Macaca fascicularis: one gene and its partners. The protein of the gene in region 5 binds, or shares a complex with, the protein of the main gene of each other region. Links are inferred from orthologs where the notes say so. Each region holds a gene or a part of one and is shown on either strand. Other genes may lie near its edges.

The links.
Region 1: SNRNP40 (region 5) and BUD13 share a complex: the UniProt entries of both Homo sapiens proteins name them as parts of the minor spliceosome. The link is inferred for Macaca fascicularis from reciprocal best matches to the Homo sapiens genes SNRNP40 and BUD13.
Region 2: SNRNP40 (region 5) and PPIH share a complex: the UniProt entries of both Homo sapiens proteins name them as parts of the U4/U6-U5 tri-snRNP complex. The link is inferred for Macaca fascicularis from reciprocal best matches to the Homo sapiens genes SNRNP40 and PPIH.
Region 3: SNRNP40 (region 5) and CD2BP2 share a complex: the UniProt entries of both Homo sapiens proteins name them as parts of the U5 snRNP complex. The link is inferred for Macaca fascicularis from reciprocal best matches to the Homo sapiens genes SNRNP40 and CD2BP2.
Region 4: SNRNP40 (region 5) and RBM22 share a complex: the UniProt entries of both Homo sapiens proteins name them as parts of the postcatalytic spliceosome P complex. The link is inferred for Macaca fascicularis from reciprocal best matches to the Homo sapiens genes SNRNP40 and RBM22.
Region 6: SNRNP40 (region 5) and CDC40 share a complex: the UniProt entries of both Homo sapiens proteins name them as parts of the postcatalytic spliceosome P complex. The link is inferred for Macaca fascicularis from reciprocal best matches to the Homo sapiens genes SNRNP40 and CDC40.
Region 7: SNRNP40 (region 5) and USP39 share a complex: the UniProt entries of both Homo sapiens proteins name them as parts of the U4/U6-U5 tri-snRNP complex. The link is inferred for Macaca fascicularis from reciprocal best matches to the Homo sapiens genes SNRNP40 and USP39.

What each region holds. Positions count from the first base shown.
Region 1 is NC_088388.1:115,610,320-115,613,819, reverse strand, and holds part of BUD13 (BUD13 homolog), read left to right. Parts: intron 1-188; coding exon 189-294; intron 295-944; coding exon 945-1,083; intron 1,084-1,405; coding exon 1,406-1,590; intron 1,591-2,141; coding exon 2,142-2,223; intron 2,224-3,500. UniProt on the Homo sapiens protein: Involved in pre-mRNA splicing as component of the activated spliceosome. As a component of the minor spliceosome, involved in the splicing of U12-type introns in pre-mRNAs.
Region 2 is NC_088375.1:192,203,566-192,207,065, forward strand, and holds part of PPIH (peptidyl-prolyl cis-trans isomerase H), read right to left. Parts: intron 3,460-3,500; coding exon 3,367-3,459; intron 2,320-3,366; coding exon 2,232-2,319; intron 1,753-2,231; coding exon 1,712-1,752; intron 963-1,711; coding exon 894-962; 3' UTR 877-893; intron 1-876. UniProt on the Homo sapiens protein: PPIase that catalyzes the cis-trans isomerization of proline imidic peptide bonds in oligopeptides and may therefore assist protein folding. Participates in pre-mRNA splicing.
Region 3 is NC_088394.1:28,493,692-28,497,659, forward strand, and holds the start of CD2BP2 (CD2 antigen cytoplasmic tail-binding protein 2), read right to left. Parts: upstream 2,801-3,968; 5' UTR 2,731-2,800; intron 2,224-2,730; 5' UTR 2,198-2,223; coding exon 2,120-2,197; intron 1,840-2,119; coding exon 1,704-1,839; intron 1,579-1,703; coding exon 1,421-1,578; intron 1,321-1,420; coding exon 885-1,320; intron 805-884; coding exon 698-804; intron 632-697; coding exon of another isoform or gene 613-631; coding exon 502-612; 3' UTR 1-501. UniProt on the Homo sapiens protein: Involved in pre-mRNA splicing as component of the U5 snRNP complex that is involved in spliceosome assembly.
Region 4 is NC_088380.1:157,581,478-157,585,597, forward strand, and holds the start of RBM22 (pre-mRNA-splicing factor RBM22), read right to left. Parts: upstream 2,801-4,120; 5' UTR 2,709-2,800; coding exon 2,655-2,708; intron 2,220-2,654; coding exon 2,166-2,219; intron 985-2,165; coding exon 955-984; intron 348-954; coding exon 215-347; intron 1-214. UniProt on the Homo sapiens protein: Required for pre-mRNA splicing as component of the activated spliceosome. Involved in the first step of pre-mRNA splicing.
Region 5 is NC_088375.1:203,713,518-203,717,476, reverse strand, and holds the start of SNRNP40 (U5 small nuclear ribonucleoprotein 40 kDa protein), read right to left. Parts: upstream 2,801-3,959; 5' UTR 2,764-2,800; coding exon 2,623-2,763; intron 1-2,622. UniProt on the Homo sapiens protein: Required for pre-mRNA splicing as component of the activated spliceosome. Component of the U5 small nuclear ribonucleoprotein (snRNP) complex and the U4/U6-U5 tri-snRNP complex, building blocks of the spliceosome.
Region 6 is NC_088378.1:14,240,477-14,243,976, reverse strand, and holds part of CDC40 (pre-mRNA-processing factor 17), read right to left. Parts: intron 3,213-3,500; coding exon 3,073-3,212; intron 2,419-3,072; coding exon 2,322-2,418; intron 994-2,321; coding exon 854-993; intron 43-853; coding exon 1-42. UniProt on the Homo sapiens protein: Required for pre-mRNA splicing as component of the activated spliceosome. Plays an important role in embryonic brain development; this function does not require proline isomerization.
Region 7 is NC_088387.1:35,945,862-35,949,361, forward strand, and holds part of USP39 (ubiquitin carboxyl-terminal hydrolase 39), read right to left. Parts: coding exon 3,338-3,500; intron 1,294-3,337; coding exon 1,151-1,293; intron 1-1,150.

The DNA of each region.
Region 1 (3,500 bases), on a different chromosome or scaffold from region 5:
TGGTTTTGATGAAATTTGATTTTCTTTTATAGTTTTTGAATCCTATGGTAATTAATGAGAATATAAAGCTAGAGTTTGAGGTTTAATTATTGCTGGTCATCAGACACAAATGCAACTAACTGTGTACCCGTGGAGCCTACTGCCACATCATCTCATTAATGTTGGATGCTCCCTTTTCCATTGCATAGGCTGCACACATGTATTCTGGGGCTAAAACTGGGTTGGTGTTAACTGACATACAGCGAGAACAGCAGGAGCTCAAGAAACAGGATCAAGAAACCATGGCATTTGAAGGTAAAAATATGAAAGTGCAGAGACCAATCCAGGCTCATTTTTTTTTTTTTAATTTAGCTTATTGTACCTGGTATTTTAAACTTTTAATTGCTATCAAATTTCAGCTCTGGTTTTATGCATGGTTGTAATTTCTCAGTGAGTCCCAGTGTTTCTTTCCTTCTTGAAAAATGCCATTTCGCCCAGGCGTGGTGACTCATTGTAATTCCAGCAATTTGGTAGTCCGAGGCGGGTGGATCAGCTGAGGTCTGTAGTTCGAGACCAGCCTGGCTAACATGATGAAACCCCGTCTCTACTAAAAATAGAAAAAAACTAGCCAGACGTGGTGTTGCATGCCTGTAATCCCAGCTACTCAGGAAGCTGAGACAGGAGAATCGCTTGAACCCGGGAGATGGAGGTTGCGGTGAGCCAAGATCGCGCCACTGCACTCCAGCCTTGGCAACAGAGCGAGACTCCATATCAAAAAAAAAAAAAAAAGAAAAATGCCATTTCTCGGGCCCAGTGCCAATATGCACCTAGATGTTGGTAGGAACTACTTTGGTCTGGCTGCAGAAGTTCTTATCCAGCATTAGAATCCCAAGTGGTTGATTTGATCTCTTAGAATGTTATTTCTGATTTTGATCCTGATATTTGAGTATAATTTTCCTTTGCAGCTGAATTTCAATATGCTGAAACCGTATTTCGAGATAAGTCTGGTCGTAAGAGGAATTTGAAACTGGAACGTTTAGAGCAAAGGAGGAAAGCAGAAAAGGACTCAGAGAGAGATGAGCTGTATGCCCAGTGGGGAAAAGGGTAAGGGAACCACTGAAAGGGTAAACAAGATGGCAGTGACTGGAACAAGTCATTTCTCTGCTCTTCTTGATCACTCACTTTCTTATTATGCCTTCAGAGCTGTTATCAGTAATGGGAAATTTGGTGTGCTGAATCTTCTTCCTAGGATATTGATATATTCCACACTTCCAGTGGATATTCTGGGAATTTTACCCTGCTCAGTATTTGCCCTAGGGTACTACTAGAAAGAGGAGAGTCTCCAAATTTAGCAGTATGGTCCATCTTGTGTAGAAGTGGAAATGTCATACAGGATAGCAAACACTCTTGGTTCTTTTTTGCCCAGGCTTGCCCAGAGCCGGCAACAGCAACAAAATGTGGAGGATGCAGTGAAAGAGATGCAAAAGCCTCTGGCCCGCTATATTGATGACGAAGATCTGGATAGGATGCTAAGAGAACAAGAAAGAGAGGGGGACCCCATGGCCGACTTCATCAAGAAGAATAAGGCCAAGGAGAACAAGAATAAAAAAGGTGGGACTTCTGGGAATCATCAGAGCTGGAGGTGACTTGTGAAGAGAGAGAATCATTAGGATTCTGATACATAGCTGTATGCAAGGAAGGATTTCCCAAATAATTTAAATTCATTGTATTTGTGAGTTTAGATTCAACTCAACTGGTCTTTCTATGTGAAAATTTTTCCGGGCCAGGCACGGTGGCTCATGCTTGTAATCCCAGCACTTTGGGAGGCTGAGGTGGGTGAATCACCTGAGGTCAGGAGTTGGAGACCAGCCTGGCCATTGTGAAACCCCATCTCTACTAAAAATACAAAAAAAAATTAGCTGGACGTGGTGGTGCACGCTTGTAATCCCAGCTACTTAGGAGGCTAAGGTACGAGAATCGCTTGAACCCAGGAGGCAGAGGTTGCAGTAAGCCGAGATTGTGCCACTGTACTCCAGCCTGGGCAACAGAGTGAGACTCTATTAAAAAAATAATAATAATAATAAAAAATTCCCACATTGCCATCCAGCTCTGAATTAAATTATGTCATTAACTAAATACTTTTTTCTTACTCCTCTCTTTAGTGAGACCTCGCTACAGTGGTCCAGCACCTCCTCCCAACAGATTTAATATCTGGCCCGGATATCGCTGGGATGGAGTGGACAGGTAAGCCTGGGTATTTCTTAGGTTTTTATTTTCTCTTCTACCTGACTGTAACCTTCCCTAACCACTCGTAAGTTGCTCCACACTTTATTTCATTCTCTGCTTTAATCACAAGGTGAAAAATATGCACTTTGCTTGCTTCTATTTCTGAGGTCCACAAATCCTATTTTTCATGCTTGGAACACTCCTCTTTCTGTTTCCTTTTCATAACACTTTTTAAAGCTCTGTACAAACAACTCAGGTGGTTCAGATAAGACACCCTTTGTTTTGGACATTGGTTACTTTTAATGATATTTTCTAAGGTTTAGAGGGGTCGAGTGATGAGTCGTAGTCTGGAGCCTTCTATGTGATATGTCTTTAAAATGTAGCCTCTGAATCTTTCTTCACTTTACGGTCTTAGGAGGCAGTCACTTTTAATGTCTCACGGTCCTCTACCACCTCATCTGTCTACCTACCAGCATCTGTACCCACATGCTCTAACTTCCTGTCTGTTATGATGGATGAACTATATTTGCTTCCATCCAGAGTCAGTTCGTGTACTTACGTATTAGATTCTATCTCCTCTTGCCTACTAAAGGACATTGTTTTAGTATCTAGCACAATAATTCTCAAACTTTTTAATTTCAGGATCCTTTTACACTCTTTTTTTTTTTTTTTTGAGATGGAGTCTCGCCCTGTTGCCTGGGCTGGAATGCAGTGGCGCAATCTCAGCTCACTGCAACCTCTGCCTCCCGGGTTCGAGCGATTCTCCTGCCCCAGCCTCCCGAGTAGTTGGGATTACAGGCGCGTGCTGCCATGCCCAGCTATTTTTTATATCTTTAGTAGAGACAGGTTTTCACTATGTTGCCAGGCTGGTCTCGAACTCCTGACCTTAGGTGATACGTCCACCTTGGCCTCCCAGAGTACTGGGATTCCAGGTTTACAGGATTACAGGATTACAGGTGAGCCACCATGCACAACCACTCTTGTTTTTTGTTGTTGTTGAGGCAGAGTCTTGCTCTGTTGCCCAGGCTGGAGTGCAGTGGTGCGATCTCCACTTCCCGGGTTCAAGCAATTCTCATGCTTCTGCGGCCTGAGTAGTTGGGATTACAGGTGTGCATCACCATACCCAGCTAATTTTTGTATTTTTAGTAGAGACGGGGTTTTTGCCACGTTGGCCAGGCTGGTCTTCAATTCCTGGGCTCATATGATCGTCTGCCTCAACTTCCCAAAGTGCTGCGATTACAGGCTTGAGCCACCATGCCTGGCCTACACTCTTAAAAATTACTGATGACCTCAGA
Region 2 (3,500 bases), about 12 Mb from region 5:
TGGAAATGGATGAGGAGGCAAGAAGGGAAAGAAAAAAACCAATGTCAAGGCAAAGAAATAAAACAAGAATGTTAATCACTGGTGAATCTAAGTGAAGATATATGGGTGGTCAAGGTATTCTTCTAACTTTTTTGCAGGTTTGAAATTAAAAAAAAGAAAAACATTACTATCCCTCACCTCGGATTTCCCCCTTGTACTCTTCTCACACTTGGCAGTGTCACTCATATTACTAGTGATGACCTCTGAGAATGTCTTACTTCCCATGAGCTCCTGAAAGGAGACACCTTTCAATTCTTTGCCCCGCTCTCTGCAGCGAGCATGCTGCCCAGCGCAGAGCAGGCAGTGGCAAATACGGGTAAGAAATGAGTCCATGTAGGCTGGAAGATGCAAGGCATTCACCTGTGAGGCCGGCAAATACGAAGTCAAGGCCTGGAATTGCAGTATCAGTTCTGATGAGGTGCATGACAGGCGTGTCTCCTGGCTGCTTGGCCTGGTCCCAGCAGAGAGTTACTCAGGCCTGGAGCCAGGTCTTTCTAGGGGGACTACTGAATGGAACTGTAGTCTGAAAGTGCTGTTACAAACTGCCTGAGTAGTTTTCAGATTGATACTTTGTACATTACAAAGTGATAGAAAAGTACAGTGCTCCTACAACCCTTTCTCTTTTGATTTTTACAGTGACTCTGAGAGATAGGTATTACAGTATTTCCATTTGACAGATGAGGACACATGCTCAGAGAAGGAAAGTGACCACTCCAAGGTCACACACAGAGGAACTGGGCTCAATCTCATGTCTTCAAGACTAAAGATCTTTCCACTAGACCATGCTGTCTTCTTTGAGGTCTGACTCCTAACCTAATAGCAGAAAGACACACTTACCTGATTCAGTCTTTGGACTACATCTCCCCACACTGTGAGATCACCACAGGCAGCTTGGGCTTATTGTTGGGGCCTGTGGGAACATTCTAGGAAAAAAAGCACAATGGACATTCATCCACTCAGGCACTTCCTCATTCCCTTATCAAACTTTTACTGATGCCTGCCAGCCCCTGTGCTAAGGACTCAGCACTCAGAAACTGTCCATGTCCTGGCAGACAGGTATCAAAGAGAAAATGCAAAACACTTAGAAAACATCAAACCTATGATAATATAACAAAAAGTTATGAGAGAGTTGGATAAGGGGTAGACGGGTAACTAAATTGCTGCTTAAAGAGGTCAGGGAAGGATTCACAAAAGAGGATTATTTGAACTGTGCCTAGAAGGATGAATGGGATTCCACCAGGAGGGAAGGAAAGAAGAGCATTCCAGCTACAGGAAACAGTGTGAACAAAGGCTCAGGAGCAGGAAAGAGCAAGGGGCAGAGATGTGTATGGCAGATTTAGGGAAGAGCTAGTAGCCTGATGTGACTGGAACATGAAAGAGGCAGTGGCAGGAGAAGGGGCCGTGGAGAAGTAGACAGGGACTAATCATGAAGGACCTTGAATGCAATGCTGAGGAGTAGAATTTTATCAAGTAGGCAACAGGGTCGTCAGGGGCCAAACCTCAGTGCTGACCAGACAGGCTAACTTAGGTGGTCTCTCCTCCCTTTTCCTGAAGCAATGAAGACTGGGCCTAACAAACTGGAGCTCATTCCCCCTTCTCTAGCTCCTGGACGCTAGTCAGACAGTACCAGACCAGAATGGGAGAGAAAGAGAAAAATCAAAGCAGTACTTACCTCAATCTTTCTCATCACTAGAAGTCCATCGATGATTTTTCCTGTAGGAAGAGTGTGAGCTGGACTTTATTCTTGTTTACATAGCGTTTTCCAGCTTCCAAAGCCCATTCTTAGCTATTATGTCATTAGATTCTGTTACTAACTTTAGGAAATTAAGATGCAGTAGAGGTGAAATGACTTGCTCAAGGTCATAGGTAATAAGTAGAGTTAGGGCTCACACTTATATCTGAGTGACTGCAAAGTCTCACCATATCATGCTGCCTGTATGGCATTTCTTTGGTGCTAGCTACTGGGTTTTTCCCCTGAGTGGTTCCATACTATATCAAATGGCCCTTTTGTCCTTCCCTCTAGTTCTCTAGCCAAACATGTTCCCCACCTCCCCACCATTTCTGTTTTCTCTGTTACCACCTAAGCAGTTATCCAAGTTGAGCATTCTTGGTAAGAGTCTGAGAACTAACTCCTCTGGAGGTTCCATCCGCGGTGAATGGGGCCTGGACCATGGGACATGAGTAGGACTTACCAAACACCACATGCTTCCCATCCAGCCAATCGCACTTAGAGCAGGTGATAAAGAACTGACAGCCATTTGTACTCGGACCACTATTTGCCTGATGGAAACCAAATATACCTGCAGTAAGTTTCCTTGGCCATGTTACCTGATGGGTAAGATTCCCAAAAGAGCTTGTAACCCTAATCCCTCCATGTTTTTTTCAGTAAATCTAACTTAGCACCTATTATGAGCCAGGGCCTAAGCTAGGATCCAAGGATCCAGAGATGAACAGGATATGGCTCACTGCAGACTCAAATTCCTGGGCTCAAGCAATCCTCCCACCTCAGCCTCCCTAGTAGGTGGGACTCCAGGTGTGTGTCACTATACCTGGCTAATTTTTTTTTTCTTTTTTTAGTAGAGACTTAAGTTTCACTATGTTACCCATACTGGTTTCAAACTCCTGACCTCAACCTCAAGCAATCCTCTTGCCTTGGCCTCCCAAAGTGCTGGGATTACAGGTGTGAGCCACCAGGCCCAGCTATGAATATGTCTTGAAAGCACAGCTTTTTACATTCTGAGCAGTAGGGCTGAATGCCTAGACACAAACCCTGGTTCATATTTTAGTTCCCCAGCCTGCTAGCCTGCTAGAGGGTCTTACCTACTGGTTTTCTTTTCTTTCTTTTCTTTTTTTTAAGACGGAGTTTCGCTCTTGTTGCCCAGGCTGGAGTGCAGTGGCACGATCTTGGCTCACTGCAATCTCCCCTTCTTGGGTTCAAGCGATTCTCCTACCTCAGCCTCCCAAGTAGCTGGGATTACAGGCACCCACCACCACACCTGGCTAATTTTTTGTATTTTTAGTAGAGATGGGTTTCACCATGTTGGCCAGGCTGGTCTCGAACTCCTGACCTCGGGTTATCCACCCGCCTCAGCCTCCCAAAGTGCTAGGATTACAGACGTGATACAGGCTCACACCTGTAATCCACCATGTACCTACCGGTTTTCTCAATCAAACCAGACTGAGAAAAGAGGTGGTAAAGGTGAGTCCTGGGGCAAGCAAGAGAAAGAAAGCATTTGCTTTCATCATGCCAAAACACAGCATTGGGCCTCAAGAGGGGCCCAGAAACCAGCTGGCTGTAACGCAAAACCTTGATTGGACCTCACTTACCATGGAAAGCAGGCCTGGGGCTGAGTGTCTAAGTTTAAAATTTTCATCGGCAAATGGCCCCCGGTAAATACTGGCAACTCCAGTACCATCTCCCTGAGCAGACAGAAGGGAAATATTAGTGACTTGGAGTGTTG
Region 3 (3,968 bases), on a different chromosome or scaffold from region 5:
AAACGTTTCCATGCCCACCCCCAACAGAGACCCAATGTCTTCTCCATGCCCCGGTCCTTCCAGGCCTAAAAGCTCCACTTCTGGGGCTCCATCCCCTGGTGGCTACAAGGACAAAGAATCTGACATCCTGAAAGCCAAAGACCTAAGGGGAATCAAACAAGAAACCTCAGAGAGGAACACAAAGTAGCGCAGTTGGGGGTGTTTACACAGCAAGCAGAGTCCAGGCAGTGAGGCCACAGGACACCTGACAGGCACCTCCAAAGAAGATCTTCATGGGAGCAAACACTCAGGGACCAAGGCAAGTCCAAAGTGGCTGTGGAGAAGGCCCCTGGCTTCTGGCCGTCAGCACAGCCAAGGCCCCAATACACAACTAAAGGCTTTTATTGGGAAAGGGAAATTGACTGAAAAATGGCCTCCAATTTCCTCACTGCCTGAGACACTTGGTGCCTTCTCCACAAAGTCCAGGAAAGAATGACCCACCAAACTGGGCCCCCAGCAGGCTCAGGTGTAGAGCTCAAAGTCAATGCGTTTGGAGTTGTAGAACTGACCACCAGGGGGGTCCAGCTTCCGGCAATAAACACCGTCCGGGAAGTAGCCTTCACTCACCCAGGTCTGCAAGGAGAGGGCAGAGCTGGGGAAGGACTGACAGGAGTAGGGGAAGCAGGGACAAGCCAGAAGGAGGGAGAAAGCAGCTCACCTGCATCTGGGCGCTGGTGAAGGGCCCATACAGCTCGGCATCCCCCGTGTTCTCCCACTTATATTCCCACATCACATCCACCAGACCATCTCCTGGCGACTCTGCTTCTAAAATAACAGGCAAAGCCATTTGACCTCCGGTGTCTCACTTCCCGCCCACTGCCCCCTCCTCTGTCCTCCAAGCTTACCTCCTCTCTGGGTAGGGGTTGGGGTCTCCAGTTCCTCCTCTGCCACTTCCTCAGCGAACATGTCCAGGGAGGGTGGGGGTGTGGGATTGTGGGGTCCCACGGTCTGACACCCCAAACCCTTCAGCCGCATAGCCAACCGTTCCCTTGTTTCCTGGTACACGCCAAGGTTGCCCCGGGCCACCATCTGGTCGGCCAACCCGGAGAGCCGGTCCAGGCGCTGAGGGGAACTGGGACGCCCAGGCCCCTTGCTGCTCCCTTTGCCTCCTCCTCGGGCCCCTAGACGCCTCAGTGCCCCAGCCACTGTCTCTCTAGGCAACAGAAGCTCCAAAAGTCCCTCCAAGAGGGCTTGGGCACTCATTGGGGTCTGGCCCAAGCTGTCTTCCTCCTCCGAGTCTGAGGCCTGGTGCTGGCCAGGTGGCCGCTCCCGGATCTTCACCTGTCATGGAAAGATGCAGTGATTTCCCACGAACTGCCATGGGAGCAGGCCTAGCATCCGCCACTCCCCGGCCCCAGCCACACCAGCCCCTGGGCCTCACCCAGTCAATGTTGTCCAGCCAGCTGTCTCGGATCTGAGCATCCCGGTTCAGGAAGTAGTTGCCATCAGCATCAAAGTGTCCTTCCTCCATCTCCTCCTGCAGGTTAAAGGGTGTGATCCGAACACCCCCCTCGCTGGGGAGTGTGGCTGCCTCCTGACCTGTACCAAAGACACAGGTGCCCTTTTCTAGGCATGGAAAAGAGAGACTGGAGCCTCCCTCACTCCACACCACCAGAGGCCCCTACTTGTTTCTCCAGCAGAGTGTATTCTTGGGTACAGCTCACCTTCTACATCCTCTGAGGCCAGGATGTCGTATTTGCTGGACCCCCCATCATCATCATCCTCCTCATCGCTATCCAAAGAGTGTTTGCCTTTGAAGCGGCTCCCAGGACCCCCTGACCCAGCCACAGGGTCCACCAGCTGTGAGCAGGAGTCAAGTCAAGAAATGCAGGTTACTGGCTACCTCCCCAAATACTTCCGGATCTGGACCCAAATATTCCCCAAATATTTCAGGATCTCGACTACTTCCCCAAATATTTTAGGACCCACACTGAAGATGCTCCCAACCCATTCTTCAGAGAACCTGAAAAAACTAGGCTTTTCTCTGCCTGCCCGCCCCGCCCCACTCCCGCCAGCTTTCTTTCTCCTCAGGCTTCTAGCTCCTCTCTTTCCCCCACACAAAGGAGTCTGGCCCCCTCACCTTCTTCTTGGGGACACTGATTTCATCCTCATCTTCCTCATCTCCCACGCCTTGGAAGGTCACTTTCCTCTTTGGCATGACGGGGCAGAGAGGTGTTTCTCAAGCTGAGGAAAGGATACAGAGAAAGAGAATGGGGTGAGGAGGGGACTCGCCACCAGAGGACCCAGCACAGCAAATATTTTTCCTGGTCTGTGACAGGTACAGTTTGGGAGCGGAGGGAGCACAAAAGCAAGGGCTGAAGAGAAGCTGGCAGCCAGGAGGCCTGCAGGACTTGGGTCTAGCATCCGCGAGTTAAATGGGGTGGGGACGGAGGAGCGGACCCTCTGGATCCCCTGACCCTGGCCAACAGGGAACAGACTTCACCACGTGACCGCTCCCAACTCCAGCCCCCGCAGTCTGGGCGCCACCGGCTCGACCGGCTGACCCCCGCCTCCTACTCTGGCTCTCTCGGAGCTCGCGGGGCCCGGGCAGACCCAGGACCTGGCGCTCTCGCCACCCCGTTCCTCCCTGCTCCGAACTCCCAATTCCGTGTGGTGAGCCCCAACTGTCCCGGGCTGTGTACAAATTAGAGGGCCACGGGGATCCGGGCTGTCCCACCCTCGCGCGCTCACCTGGGACTCCGCGGGAGGCGAGGTGGCGAAAAGAAGAGATGCTTGCGCCAAGGCTACATCCGGGGCACCCGGCCGCCATCACCCGGAAGAGGACTGTGGAAGGCGCCTGGGAAGCCCGGAAGTGGCTTCACTCGGGTTAGGGAACTAACTGGAAGAGCGGGCGGAAGTACGCGGTGAGCGAGGGAAGACGCCTCCACCCTCTCTCCCGCAAGAAGTGACGTCAGTCGCGTGGGAGGACAATGGCGAGAAGAGGGGACCTGTGAATGCCTACACTCTGACCGGGCGTGAGAAATGGCCGGAAGTACCTTCGATTCCCTCATTCAAGCAGTAGAGGCTCTGGAGAAAAACGAGAGCATCTACTTAAAGGGTCGCCCAGGGTCAGGATGGAGGGGCAAAGTCCGAGCAGGGCCAGTGGGTCGCTGCCCCGTTTTCCTGTGCTGGGTTCGAGTCACCCTTCCACCAGGGCTGAGGGCTCAGCGCCCCTACCGTCTCGTTAGAAATCCTGCCTTCCCACTCCTGTGGTCCGGTGGTAAGCTCTCCTATCTGAGAGGTGGAGCCTTGCCCTCCCCGAGGGGAAGCCTGGCTCTCCCGATGGCCAGCCCGGGGCCCCTGGACGGCTCTCGGGGCACTTTCTGGACACAGCTCCCTTTAGGACCCAGGGGAAGTCATTTGTCCCACGCCCATACCCTGGGCGAGTTCCTGGCTTCTGAGGTGGGAGAGCCATCACTGGAGAGGTGGCATTGGCACCAGTACCCAGGCCAGAAGTCCCTGTGCCCTGCTCTCAGATAGGCCTGGAAAAGGGCAACAGTGCCTCTCTGTAGCATGAAGCCCCTCTGAGCAAACAGGGCCTAGCACCACGGCCTGGAAAAGGGCAACAGTGCCTCTCTGTAGCATGAAGCTCCTCTGAGCAAACAGGGCCTAGCAACTCGTGCCCAGGTAACAGAATGTGGCCCAAGCAGAAGCGGGACTGGGGGAGGTGGCGGGGGGTCAGCCCCTGTACTGGAACCTCTAGCTCTTGAGGACACTCGGAGCCTGCATCCCCCTAAGCAAAGACTGCCCAGGCGGCACCTGCTGGAGCCAGACGAGGACAGTGTGAGAGTTCCCCTACTCTTCCCCAAGGCAACTAGATGGGCCACTTCTCTCTCCCTAGGGATTTCCTCCCATATTGGATCACGATGGAACTGCACAGAAAGTCCATGCTCAGTTTCTTCCATGGTTACAGAACACAGGCCCCAGAC
Region 4 (4,120 bases), on a different chromosome or scaffold from region 5:
TTTGATTAATTCCCAAATTTTCCTTAAGTTCCTACTATTGTTCAGGACTCTAGAACAGACTAATTATGGTTCTTTTCCTGGGAAAAGCAGACCACAGCAGACATTCCAAAGTGAAATCAGAACCAGAGCTAGGGTGAGAAGTGGGAGACAAAAGACTGGCTTGTAGTTTTAGGCACCTGCACACTTTCAGATCTATTGGACAGGTCAAGCATACCATACTCTAGGTCTAAGAGGCAGGTCTGACAGACATTCTTCAATTTACTGCAGGTTTGGCACACTTCAGTCTTCTTGAAACGCATGCGGACTCCAGGGCACCAGCGAAACACGGTGAATGGCCTGGCACAGATCTGGAACACAAAACAAGAGCCACAGAATGTTAATGGCCCTGATCTGGGCAATCTGGAGCTCTGATAACAATGGGGCATTCAAAAAAGGATCCCTGAATGTAGGGTTTAGAAGAGACCTTAGCAACCATCTAGTTGATTTGATGTTTCAATACAATTTTCAGCATCCTTCTCCAGCAAAAATTCAGAGTACAGAAATGAAATAGCCAAAAGGTCAAAGTTCTTCCCATCCTAGAGGTAAGCACCAATAATAATCTGAACCTTAATCTTTTTTAGGGGGAGTGGGGAGTGTCATAAAATTTTTTGAGAATCTTCTGACAGGGATGACCTTCCTCCTCAGCTAAAATGCTCATGTGGACAGTCATATACCACCTGGTATACAAACTCCTTCAATGCCCATCCACTGACATTAGAATCTCTACATCAGAGGGTTCATTTTCTTACCTCCCACATAAATAGTTGCCAGCCAATGAATATATCAGTAATACATAAAAAGTTGTATGGCACTGATTCTTACTGGAAGACCTCAAAACTTAGTAAGCTGAAGGCTAATTTGGTAGAGAAAAGAAAAATGAAACAGAAATCATTACTCTTTAACAGACATACTTACTTTGCATTCCTTCCCATACTTTTCTTTGGTCTATAATAGAAAAAAAATAGAAAAGAACTGGAGTTACAGAAAGAAAAAAGCCAGGTGTCTACTATTTCCTTAAACATAACCCAAGAAATGTGTCTGGAAATCCCTGGCATCCTAGAGAGAGAGAAAAACAACAACAACAACAACAAAAACCAAAACCCAAACTTTTTTGGGAAGAGGGTAGGAAACATACTATAACAACATATTGTAAGTTATAACATCTCAAGAGTATACGGATCTGGGCCAGGTGGCAGCGGCTCACGCCTGTAATCCCAACACTTTGAGAGGCCAAGGTGGAAGGATCGCTTGAGCCCAGGAGTTCCAGACCAGCCTGGGCAACATAGCAAGACGCTGTCTCCACAGGGAAAAAAAAAATAGAGTATATGCATCTAATACTAGGTAACTGAGTGTCTTTCCACAGCCACAACTCCTAGGTTCATTTTTGGCTCCCAAGTTCACTCCCAAGAACTAACATTCCTAATGGTTTCCACAATCCCTAAATCAGAGAGGATACAGCTATGGCCCGCCCACTTTACAAAGTTTAGTCAAAAGGTAGCTACTGTAGACTTGACCTGTGCCAGTGCCCGGAATATAGTAAATGTTCTGTTTAAACAGAACTATTCAAACATCTTGAACCATTCAAACATCTTGAACATACTAATATATCAACATCTCTACGACTACACAATAATACAGCCCTAACCTAATTATTGTTAACTGGTTCTAATTTTACCCTTGTTTATAAGAAACGGGGAATGCTTAAAGAGATAAAGTACACTGGCCAAAAGGCATTTGACCAGGAGTCAGGAAACCTAGTTTTTAGTTCTGGTTCTCCTCCTATCATGCTGACATTCCTACAGCCAGAATATCTGAACTTGAATCCCAGCTCCATTCATTACTATTGTATGAAAAGACACAAACGCTCTCACCTTCTGGTCAACAGACCTATTTCCTGGGTAAATGCTCAACAAATACTAGCTATCATGATTACCCCTACATCACAGGAGTGTTACCGGATTCGTAAGTAAGAGAATACACATGACAGTTCTTTGCAAGTCGTCCAGCACTTTGGGTTAGTAAAACAGCATCATTTTTTCTGCTTGTCTAAGAGAAACACTTCACAGTGTGCAAGTACCACAACACTGACAGGACATGAATAACTCGTTTCACACGCGATCACTCACCATTCGGATATATGGGTTTTCTCCAAGACATGTCTGGCACAGAATGGGGAAGTCCTGGTGAAAATGGGAAATCTGGTTGAGGACCACCTTCCGAAGACCCTGACACCTCAGTGACACTTGGGGCGGCGAGGGGGCGGGAAGCCAGGGTGGGGAACAAGGTACGGCAGGAACCCGAAGTCCATCACGACCCGATCGCGGGAGGGGGCGCTGTCTGCACTTCCGGCAGGCGGCGGGAGAAAAGAAAACCAGCTCGAATAGGCTGGAGGGGGCAGGGATGGAAAGGGCGCTGGTCCCGGGACCCTGGCTAAGCCCCCGCCCTTCAAGCCCGCAAGAGGATCGCCCTCCGGCCTCCTACTCCGGCCAAAGCTAGGCCACCGCCTTGGCTCCTCCCCGGAATTCCTTCGGCCGCGCCGCAGGCCTTGTCCTGCGAGCTTGCAAGGTGCGCGGCTTCGCCTCCTCCTTCCATCCTCCTCCGGCAGGAACACTCACCGCATCCTCCCAGTTCTGCCTGTTGTAGGTGTTGGAACCCAGAGAGGTCGCCATCTTGAGAGCGTCCGGAGGCAGCTGTAGCTTCCGAGTTGGGAGAGAGGACCGCCACAATCCCGTCAAGCCCCGAGGCTAGCGCCGGGCTAGTCGGCGTCTTAATTACGCGTCCAGTGCCTCTTCCGGGGCGGAGCCTTTGCGTCATGACGTCGCCCGCTCTTGGAATTTCTAAGCTTAACAATCCGGGTCCTGTTATATTGTACCTGGATGCTTCCTTTGAGTTTTTGCCTGCTTGGAAAGAAGGGCCACACGTGCAGCTGATTTATTTAAAAATTGGGCGAAAGAATAAAGTAAGACGTAATGCATAAGAGGCTGGGATTAAAACAGCGTTCCCTACCATTGAGGCGCTTATTATGCCAAATGCTGGGCGAACGTCTTGTGGTTCCAGTGTCTCATTTGTTCTCATAACTTCTCTGTAGGGCTGTCAGATTCTTATTCATTCTCTCTCTCTCTCTCTCTCTCTCTCTCTCTCTCTCTCTCTCTCTCTCTCTCTCTCTCTCTCTCTTTCTCTCATTACAGAACGTCTAAAGTTGAGTTTCAGATTAACAGCGAATCGCTTTTTAATTATAAATATATTTGGTACCTACTTGTACTAAAGTAGGATTCGTGGTTGGTCTGAAAGTCGCATCACTTAACCAATCTTCCTGTATTTTATCTGGTAACTCTACCCTGTAGGCAAGTATGATGATCCTTCTTTTATAGAAAAGAAAACAGTTTAGAGAGATTAATCTCTCCTGATTTAGCTCCTAGTTGTGGAGCTAAAAAGTGGTGAAGCCACAAATTCAAAGACATTAGTACTGTTTCATTTCCAGCTTCTGAAATGACAAGGGCCTTATGAATAAACATATGCATTATTTGATTTTTGGAATAACTCGTAACCACTCCGCCAATATTTTATGAGTTTCAAGCCATTCTGGTACCACTTTCATACTTAACGGGTCATCAAACTACCTAACATATTTATTTAAATCACCTCAGGAAAAAAAGGTTGATTTAAAGTATAACTTCACATAAATTTTTATCCTTTTTAGTTTTGAATTTTTTACATACATTCACTACAGTCAAATATGGAATTGTCTATCATCCCCAAAGTTCCCTTGTTTCTGTAGTTAATCCACTTATTCCCATACTCAAACCATGGCAATCACTAATTTGTGTTCTGTCCCTAGTTTTGCCTTTTCCAGAATGTCATATAAATGGAATCCTACATAGCCTTTTGGATCTGATTTTTTTCACTTAGTATTTTGAGTTGAGATTTCATCCATATTGTTACATGTATCAATAATTTCTTCTTTTGTATTACTGAGTAGAATTCCATTGTATGGATATATCATACAATTCACTTGTCAGTTGCTGGACATTTGGGTTGTTCCCAGATTTTAGTGAATATAAATAAAACCATTATAAACATT
Region 5 (3,959 bases):
AGTCTTGCTCTGTCACCCAGGTTGGCATGCAGTGGCGTGATCTCGGCTCACTGCAACCTCTGCTTTCTGGGTTCAAGGGATCTGGTGCCTCAGCCTCCCGAGCAGCCAAGATTACAGGCATGCACAACCATGCCCAGCTAGTTTTTGCATTTTTAGTAGAGATGGGGTTTCACCATGTTGGCCAGGCTGGTCTCAAACTCCCAGCCTCAAGTGATCTGCCTGCCTTGGCCTCCCAGAGTGCTGAGATTACAGGCATGAGCCACTGCACATGGCCTATTTTTCTTATTTTTTTCATAGCGAAGGGATCCTCAGCACGGGTGAAGTAGTTTTGATTATGGTCTTGGACACTAAGATGACACTTGGGCAATTCATCTAAACATGGGCTGATATGCTCACTTGTCAAATGGGAGAAGTATACTACCCATAATCCCCAAATCTCTTCAGCACTTTCCAGCACATTCTTACTTATTTATTTATTGGGAAGGAGTCTTGCTCTGTTGCCCAGGCTGGAGTACAATGGCATGATCTCATCTCATTGCAAACTCTGCCTCCTGGGTTCAGGCGATTCTCCTGCATCAGCCTCCTGAGTGGCTGGGATTACAGGTGCCCGCCACCAAGCCCCGCCACATTCATTTAGTTTTAAAAAATGTTATGTGCAGGCTGGGCACGGTGGCTCACACCTATAATCCCAGCACTTGGGGAGGCTGAGGTGGGCAGATCACTTGAGGTTAAGAGTTTGAGACCAGCCTGACCAACATGGTGAAACCCCATCTGTACTTAAAAAAAAACACAAAAACTAGCCAGGCGTGGTGGTGGGCGCCTGTAATTCCAGCCACTCGGGAGGCTGAGGCAGGAGAATCGTTTGAACCCTGGAGGCGGAGGTTGTAGTGCGCTGAGATCGCGCCATTCCACTCCAGCCTGGGTGACAAAAGCAAAATCCCATCTTAAAAATAAAAAGTTATGTGCTAGGCACTGGGCAAACAGCTATGAACAAAATAAACAATGGAGCTTGCTGTTCCAGTGGGAAAGGGGGAAGGGAGGAGAGAAGGTGAGAGAAAACAAGCAAAATATATACTTGGTGTCATGTGCTATAGAAAAAAAGAAGGGATGGGCAAGGTGGCTCATGCCTGTAATCTCAGCACTTTGGGAGGCCAAGGTGTGCAGATTGCTTGAGCTCAGGAGTGAAATCCTGTCTCTACAAAAAAATACAATACAATTAGGTGTGGTGGTATGTGTCTGTGGTCCTAGCTATTCAGGAGGCTGAGGCAGAAGGATTACTTGATCCCTGGTGGCGGAGGATGCAGCGAGCCAGTGGTCAACACAGAGAGATTCTATCTCAAAAGAAAAAAGAGAGAGAGAGAGAGAGAGAGAGAGAAGCAATGTGGGTTCCACATTATGTGGCACTGCAATTTAAAACAGGGTGGTCAGGAAAACCCTCACTGAAAAAATTACATTTGGGCAAATATTCGCAGGAGCTGAATAATAAACCATGTGAACATTTGGGAAGAGCAATCCCATAGGGAGGACAGCAAATGCAAAGGTCCAGAGGCAGAGGTTTGGAAGAGAGTGTAACTGAAGCCGGGTGAGCAATGAGAAATTGGTCAGAGAGGTAAAGGGAAAGAGGACAAATAATTATAAGAATTTTGGTTTTTACTCTGGATGAAGTAGAAAGCCACCAGAAAGTTTTCTGCAGAATGTAATGTGATCCGTTGTTTAGAAGGATTCCTTTGGTTATTGGCTTGGTAACAGGTGCTGCTACAAAGGCAGAAAGTGGAAGACCAGTTAGGGTCCCACTACAAAAATGCCAGATGAGATAATAACGGCTTAGGCCATGAGGCAGTGATGGAAATGGTAGAAGTAGCAATTCTAGATCTATTTTGAGAACGGTGCCAGCAGGATTTATTGAGGAGATGAGAGGACACTCGTATTTCCTCGTCTGAGCCTAAACAGGGCATTAGAAGTGTGATCACTATTTCCATCTTACAAAAAATATAGTTAGGAGCATGGTTTCTCAGTTCAACATCTGTTTCTATCACGTGCTTGATAAGTCTGCTTTTCCATCTGCAAAATGGGTTAATAACGTTCCTAACAGGCTGCTACCAAGATCAATGGAAATTTCATATACGAAACACCTTAGTACAAGAGTCAACGAATGTTAGCTGCTATTCAGTTGTTAATAATACTAGTGCAGAGAAATAAAGGGAAAAGCAACTTGCCCAAAGTCCCAAAACGAGCCAACACCAATCATTTCCCTCTTTTCCTCCCTCCCTCATTCATTCATTCTACAAAGTCTTCGGAATTTCTGTTCTACGCTAGATCCATGTTAGAGTCAGGATGCTTAAGCCCGGGTCCGGGTTGTGAGCCCAAGGTTCTCAACGCTAATTCTAACGCTACCTCACAAGGCAGTCGAGAGGCTGAAAACCAGCGCCAAACGGGCGAACAAGTACTGAGCATCCGCAGGCTATGAGGCGCTTTTACAATGTTGGTGTGCTTTAACTCTAGGTAGAAACTCTCGTTCTGCCCCCCGCAATGCGGGAAGGGTCGGTGCCGGGTCACCAGATACAGCGCTCTGAGGGGAGGAAGATGAGCTGAGGGCCAAAGGCCGCCTGCTTCTTCACTTACCGCTTGCAGCAAAGCTCCCGGCGTCGCCTGCTGCTGCCCGGCTCCCGGGCCCGACCCCGCTCCCAGTAGCAACTCATGCCGCTGCCGCTTGACTGGAACCAGCGGCAACTCTGGGCCCTTACGCTTCTGTTGTTCTATCATGGCGGCAACCGGTCTCTTCAGCGCCGCCACTGACCGCGCTGCCCCCCTCAGGCGCCACGCAATTGGTTCCAGCTTAGTCCTTCCTCCACAACTTCCAGCTTGGAAGAACCAATCGGTTTTCAATATACCCATTTGCACTGCCCTCGGATAGTCTCTTGTTATTGGGCATATCTTTCTGACGTCATGAGAGTGCGATTCCAGGATTGGTGGACGGAGCTGGCGACCTCCCTAGGCGCGCTGGGTCTTGTGGGTGGAAACGCGCTGGCTGACTGGGCTCGGCGTTTAGTTCAGCGCCGGGACTCGGGGGCCTGGAGCTGACGCCTAGTACGTATGAGGAAGAGCTGGGTGGGTGGCAGCCTGAGTCTGAAGGCGACGCCTCGGTTGTGCAGTCTGAAGCTGCCCTTCTCAGCTGAGGGTGCCGATAGCAAGGGGTGGGAGGCGGGGCCCCGAGTCCCCAGCTGTGGTAAGTAGTAGCATGGGCTCCCTTTCCGGGCGGGAGCGGAGCCTTGGGGGTCTCTGGCGGCAAGACCCAGTCCCTGCGGCTCCCTTCTTCAAGAGCGCCCGTCGTGGCCAGTCCTGTGCCGGGCATTCCCAGGGAGAAAGGCCTGTGTTCCAACTTCCTCCGGCGCCCCGTTTGGCCGAGGAGGCTGACTTGTTTCTGCCACTGATTTTGCAGTTTTTGATTAGGGCCTAGTCTCTGCCCCCCTGAGAGAGACAATGATGAAGGAAATGTCCGACTCCTTCTCCAGAGCGCAGTCTTGTTGAGAAATTTGAGACTCATGCCCATGAACGTGGTCATTGCGTCAGTCGTCCAGCTGATATTTATTTAGCAGCGCGTTGGGGGTACGTCGTGAACCAGACACGGTCCCTACTCTCAGGGCGTTTAAGTCTGGTGGGGAAAACGTTAAACAATGACCTCACTAATACATGGAAATGCCTCCTAGTGCTGTTTGATGCTGAGTGCCTGAAATAAGCAGGAAGGTTTTTCAGAGGAAAAGATGCCTGCTCTGGTAGCTGCAGGAAGAATTGTAATTAATTAAGTGAAGAGGTAAAGGCAGAACCTTCCGTAGAGAACTACTTGTTCAGAGCCCTGAGGCACTTGGGAGGAAAAATGACTAAAAGCACAAAGAGCCAGTGTGACTGATACAAAGAGAATGAAGGGGAGTATGGTACAAGATGAAGCTGTACGTGATAGC
Region 6 (3,500 bases), on a different chromosome or scaffold from region 5:
TAAATGGCCAGAGAGAGGAAACAATCTGACTGCACTGACGCCCTATAAAAAGGTATTACAGTTATCAACCAGAAGCATTCAAAAGATGAGCTCAAATGAAGCATCAAGAAAAGACAGTATATATTAAGTACCCTAATTTGCTATTTTTCATTCCAAAAATCACACCCCAGAATAACTTTCATTAGCATTCCAAGAGCAGACCTTATTGACACCAAGCTTTTGAAGATTTTTTTTTCTAACCTTTAATATTGAGTTCCTCACCCAATGGAATCCTGAGTCAATCAAATTGCTACTGCCCCCACTTCTCTTCCTTTTTTTACTTAGTCCCTTTGCTCTTTGCAAAGAGTTGGAAATTACAAGTTGGAATGGTGCATATGACAAAGAATATCAACATCAAAAATTTTCATGTACCTTATCTCTGCATTAGTTTAAAAATTACCATAGTTTATAAACCAGGGCGCATCTAATCTCTGAAGTGTGATAACCACAGAGCTAAAGCAAAATTACTGAAACTAAGCAGGAGACTTGGTGCTAGTACCAGCCCATTACTCACTGATTTGGTGCCCAAAAGGAAGAAGATTGTAGCAGGAGCTTATGGGGAAAGGCCTGGCTACAAGGATGCAGAACACTAAATCATGAACGCTATATCATGGCCAATTCAGATGGCTTGAAGACTGATTAGTCACCTGTGATGGATGTGCGGGCACCTCCAAAGCCTAACCCAGAATTATATTCAATTTGACTTCCCTGCACCTTTACCAGAAACACTAAATGTTCCACATCAACAGCTAAAACTGTATGTTGGCTTCATTATAATAGCATTACAGCAAACAGAAACAACCAACTTGCTTACCTTCGTGTGTCCAGACCACACATGAATTTGTTTTTTGGGAAGATAACACTTCTCAGGTGGCATAGTTGACCGTAGATTAACACCAACATCCTGAGGTATGTGAAGATAGGACCTGCCTTGATAGTCATACATTTCTTTAACTGAAACAAAAAGGCAAAGAAAATCAATAAACAAATACAACTCATAGTCATGAAACCTATATTTTTAAAATCACATTTTTTTCACAGGGATATCTTCCATATTAAGGTTCAGGTAGTAACACTCCAATGATGTAAAGATCAAGAGTCAGCTAAGATATAAGTGCTTAAAATAACTGCTATCATTTACAACTAGAGGTAGTATTTCGAAATTCCTAAATACCCAGAGATTACAGACCTTTAGATAAGATCTATACTTCTTTTCATCACTTACACATCTTAGTAATCTATAAAGACTTCACTGTGGCATAATTATAGCAAGGGAAGATAATACTTGGGCCTTGTGAGTCACTGGTAAAGAAGCAGAAGTAAAACAGGTTAAGAAGGAAGTTAAAACAAAACAAAATATATCAACTATCCTTTTCCCGTGCTTTCCTCTTTTATGCCCTTCCAGTTCCCTTTCATTTATCTTTTCCTGCTTTCATCACAAATTTTACAATAAGGTCACCTGTGAGATTTAAATGACATACTGTATATAAAGCAATTAGCAACATGCCTGGCACAGAGTAAGTACTCAATAAATGTTATTATATTATTGTTATTATAGTTTTGAGCACCATAGTACTGAATAGACTCCTTGGAGATAAAACTGAAGCTTGAAGAATGAAATATGGCTTCATCAAACCTAAATATCTGATGTAATATAACATTAGAATAAGCAACACTGTAAGCACTAAGTTATTCTTTACAGTTTTAGATAATCACTATGTAAGTTCCTAAAATATAACTAATTATTAACTAACAGGTACATTCTAGAATACTTATGATTTATTTTGGTGAATATGCATTTCCTTCTACAAGTCAAAATAAGTATGAAAGCCTTAATCTCCATCTTTTCACATGAAAATCCAAGTTTATTCTGAGTATAGCTGAATAACGGTTATGAACTGTGTGGATACCTGAGTATTTGGCTTCATTAAAAACAGTTAAAATGACTCGGGCACTATTAATACACCAAAAGAGTCAACTTTATCTTACGAAAGAATAGACTGTGGACTATTCAAGTTTCTTCTTTATCTATCATTTAATAAAATTCATTAACACTTGGAAAAAAATTATCTGTGGCTATGATTAATCATGCTATTTTTTCTCCTTTATCAGTGTACAGAAGTCTGCTGTAATTTCCTTGGGATACAAATTGTCTAACATAATTATACTCAACATAATGATTTTATGACAGCTGATAGTAAGGGTAATGATACTGTATGAACAGCTAACAGAGTAAATATAAAAGGTTTTTCATAAAAATGAAGATGTATAAAAAATGTTACCATGTAAGATTGTCTTCTCCTCCCCAGGTTTCTCTTCTTCCTGCTTTCCTTTTTTCTGCCTCTTTGCTGTGATTTCATCCAATTCTTTTTGTTCTTCCTAAGAAAATTAAGGAGTGAAATTTAAAGTGAATGTTCTAGAACCTCATTATACCTAAAGTTGGTGCTATAAATTATTTATAATGAGGTCTACATATCTGGTCCAAGTATGTTCCCAGGATAACAAGCTCAACACTTTTTTTTTTTTTTTTCTGAGACTGGCTCATGAAGACAGTGAGATTAGGAGGTGAGGAAGGGAATGGCAGAGCATTTACTTTACAAACTTTATAGTAGTTTTAAAAATACACATAGAGATAACATTTGTTTAAAATTTTAAATAAATTCATAAATCAATAAAACTTCTAATCAATTCTAGTGTCATAGAAGGCTGATTTTGTAGTTACTATCTGAATGTCTAGTATCAGAAGAACAGCTACCATGGCAGCCTAATAGCAATATCAAGGAAATCTTTATGAAAATTGTTCAATATTGTAATTCAATAAAAAAGCATGAGAGAAAACAAATCAGCAAAAAAGGTAAATAAAAATATTTCAAAGAAAAATAAATTTTATTGTATATTTTCAATCAACTAAAGGCAGAAAAATTTTGATGAGTCATTTGGTTCTCTAAGGAAATCTCAAGTTTATCAATGTAGATATCCTTCATAGAGATACAGCATAGACCTGAACTGACAATTACAAACATCAAAGCTTACTTCTGAAGGTTTGGCTACATCTTTTTCATCCACATATTTTGCCCATGGTCCCAAGAAACCATCAATATTGGATGCATCATTTTCTTTAAACTTTTTCCTCTTTTCTGTTTTCTTCTGACCAGTTTCAAATACAGTTAAACCTACGGTAACCAAAAAAAAAAAAGAGAGAGAGATGTACATTTTCTAAAGAAATATGAACAGATGTTTATTTTTGTTTTATATGGTTAAAGAAAGATGATTGTTCAAGTGACCACAGAGTCATTAAAAAACAAACAAGCTACACGAATCTACCACATACGCTGACTCATGCTACACAAAAAGGGATTCAACCTTCTGGGCAAAGATACTTAAAACTAATTCAATATTCTGCAAATTCTAATAGTGTATACTTGAAGAAGAGACCCAAATATGTGTTCCTACAATGGCAC
Region 7 (3,500 bases), on a different chromosome or scaffold from region 5:
TTTAATTCTACTGTCTCACAAACAAGATGTTAGTGGAGAAAAGTGGGGGAAAAGAGAAAAGAGAAAATTCCCCTGTAATTCTCAACTGCAAATGTTCTCTCTCCTCACCCTCCATGGTTCTAAGAGTCCTAGCAATACTATAACAAGATGTTACACCTGGACAAACCCCGAGGGCTCAGGCCCATCTACTCCAAGCTGCTCATTTTATCTTTGAGAGAACATACCCAGAAAACATGCAAACTACGGGTCTGAGGGCCCACCACTAAGGCAGCCTAAAACTCGGGCCTCTTAATTTTAGATACTACCTTCTTAAACGCTACGTAGAATTTAAAACTGACACTACTTCTTTCTTTCTTTTTTTTTTTTTGAGCACAGTCACACTCTATCACCCAGGCTGCAGGGCAGTGACACCATCTCACCTCACTGTAGCCTCAATCTCCAAGGTTCAAGTAATCCTCCTGCCTCAGCCCCTCAAGTAGCTGGGACTACAGGTGTGCACCACCACATCGGGCTGATTTTTTGTATTTTTTTTTTAGAGAAGGGGTTTTGCCATGTTGCCCAGGCTGGTCTTGAACTCCTGAGCTCAAGCGATCCATCTGCCTTGGCCTCCCAACGTGCTGGGATTACAGGTGAGCCACCATGACCAGCCCAACATCTTCTTAAGTGTGAAAAACCTTGTCTCTTGAGAACTGAAAACCAACAGTCTACCCCCAAAAGGATTTTGCAGAAGTTTTCTGAGTTAGAAGGAAGCAAATTAAAAGCATCTAGTACAACTCCAGTGTGCAAAAAGGTGTGATAGCCAGCAAATAGATGGGCAGACCCTCACTACTCAGGACATCTTCCAAACCAGGCAGAATTCTACTTGTCCTATCCTACTTGCATCATTTCTTCTTCTCTACGCAGGAGGACTATAATTTCCGGCCAGCAACAGGAGAGGGGATAAACAGGGATTGCCTCCTAGTAAACATCTATCTTTTGTGGTCCCTGAAGTTAAGTGTATCCTTCCAATAAAAACTGTTATCTACTGTAGGTAGGCTCTGTTAATTGTAATCCCCAACTAAGACAGTCCAAAATTAATACTGGTAAAAACATAAGAGAAGAAATCCAGGTTCACTCCCCGTGAGAGGAAGTGAAGCAGGGTGTTACTTACGTAATAGGGAAATTGACAATAGTTGGATTCTTCTCAACAAAGAAGTTGTTCTTAGTGAATCTCTTGATACAAAAGATTAGATATGGAGGTAGCTTGGTAAGCTGGAAGCGCTTCAGAAAGTTCTCCTTGTAAGTCTTATATTCCTAGAGAAAAAAAAGAAAATTATCAAATTAGTGCTGAAGTTCAGTAGGTATTAGAGCAGGGGCATGAGGTTTTCATTTTGGTTTTTGAAAATGTAATTTTGCCTCACACCGAAAGTTCACAAGACTCTTGGTCCCAGAAATTATGTATGAGGCTTAGGATGTGCAGTTTGGCTAAGGCTGACTTAAAAAAAAGGCCAGGCCTGGTGGCTCACGCCTGTAATCCTATCACTATAGGACGCCGAGGCAGGCGGATCACTTCAGCACAGAAGTTCCAGACGAGCCTTGACAACATGGTGAAACCCAATCTCTACTAAAAAAGAAAAAAAAGAAAAAAAAAAAAAAGGCCGGGCGCGGTGGCTTACGCCTGTAATCCCAGCACTTTGGGAGGCCAAGGCCGGTGGATCATGAGGCCAGGAGATCGAGACCATCCTGGCTAACATGGTGAAATCCTGTCTCTACTAAAAATACAAAAAATTAGCTGGGTGTGGTGGCGGGCGCCTATAGTCCCAGCAACTCGGGAGGCTGAGCCAGGAGAATGGCGTGAACCCGGGAGGCAGAGCTTGCAGGGAGCCGAGATCGCGTCACTGCACTCCAGCCTGGGCGACAGAGTGAGACTCTGTCTCAGAAAAAAAAAAAGAAAAGGAAAAAAAAAATATATATATATATATATAAATATGTATGTAAAGAAAGCAAGCTAACCAGGCATGATGGTTCATGCCTATAATCCCAATATTTTGAGAGGCTGAGGCAGGCAGATCACTTGAGGCCAGGAGATCGAGACCAGCCTGGCCAACATGGTGAAACCCCATCTCTACTAAAAATACAAACATTAGCTGGGCATGGTGGCATGTACCTGTAGTCCCAGCTATTCAGGAGGCTGAGGCAGAAGAATTGCTTGAACCCAGTAGGCAGAGGTTGCAGTAGGCTGAGATCACACCACTGCACTCCAGACAAGGAAACAGAGTGAGACTCCATCTCAAAAAAAAAAAGTATGTCTCCCCACTTTTTGGAGTTTCTCCTCTCCTAAATGACCTTCTTTTCTCTATACTACCCAGAAGCAGGCAGGAAGCTGAAAAAAGGATATATGAGAAGTACAAGAGGGGGCACTGTGGTTGGGCACTGGTTCACATCTATAATCCCAACACTTTGGGAGGTCAAGGTGGGAAGATACCTTGAGGCCAGGAGTTAAAGACCAGCCTGGGCAACAGAGTGAGAGCTTTCTCTACAAAAAACCTTAGCTGGGCGTGGGGAAGCGTGTCTTTTTTTTCTTCACAAAATAAAAAATTGGCCAGGCACGATGGCTCTCACCTGTAATCCCAGCACTTTGGGAGGCCGAGGCGGGTAGATCATCTGAGGTCGGGAGTTCGAGACCAACCTGACCAACATGGAGAAACCCCATCTCTACTAAAAAGTCCCAGCTACTCAGGAGGCTAAGGTGAGAGGATCACTTGAGCCCAAGAGTTTGAAGTTGCAGTGAGCCATGATCATGCCACTGCACCCCAGCCTGGGTGACAGAGCAAGACCCTGTCTCAGAAAATAATAAAAAGATGGGCACTGTAAGTTAAGAGTTGGGCGTGACCAGCTAGAAATACCAAGGAGTCTGGTAGGCTCAATAAAGTCAATATACTTTAAAATAAATACATTACATACATGTGGTGATTCTTATGTATAAAATGAAAATGGGCCGGGCATGGTGGCTCACGCCTATAATTCCAGCACTTTGGGAGGCGAGGCAGATGGATCACTTGAGGTCAAGAGTTCGAGACTAGCCTGGCCAACATGCTGAAATCTCATCTCTACTAAAAATACAAAAAAATTAGCTGGGCATGGTGGTGGATGTCTGTAACCCCAGTTACTCAGGAGGCTGAGGCAGGAGAATCACTTGAAACTGGAAGGTGGAGATTGCAGTGAGCTGAAATCATGCCACTGCACTCCAGCTTGGGCGACAAGAGCAAAACTGTCTTGAAAAAGAAAAAAAAAAGAAAATGAAAAAGTCAAGAGCGCAAAGATAAATATAGGCAGGGCAGGTGTGTTAATGGGCTACCTTCTCAGTGATGCCATTGAATTTGGCCAGGATGTTGAAGAGTGGCACTTGGGGAATGATGAGCTGCTCCTTCTCGTCCTTGTAGAGGGGGGCAGTAGGAAGGTCAAGTGTCAGGTACATAAAAGTGGACTCCACCATCGTCTCCTGGTACTCATCATTATGG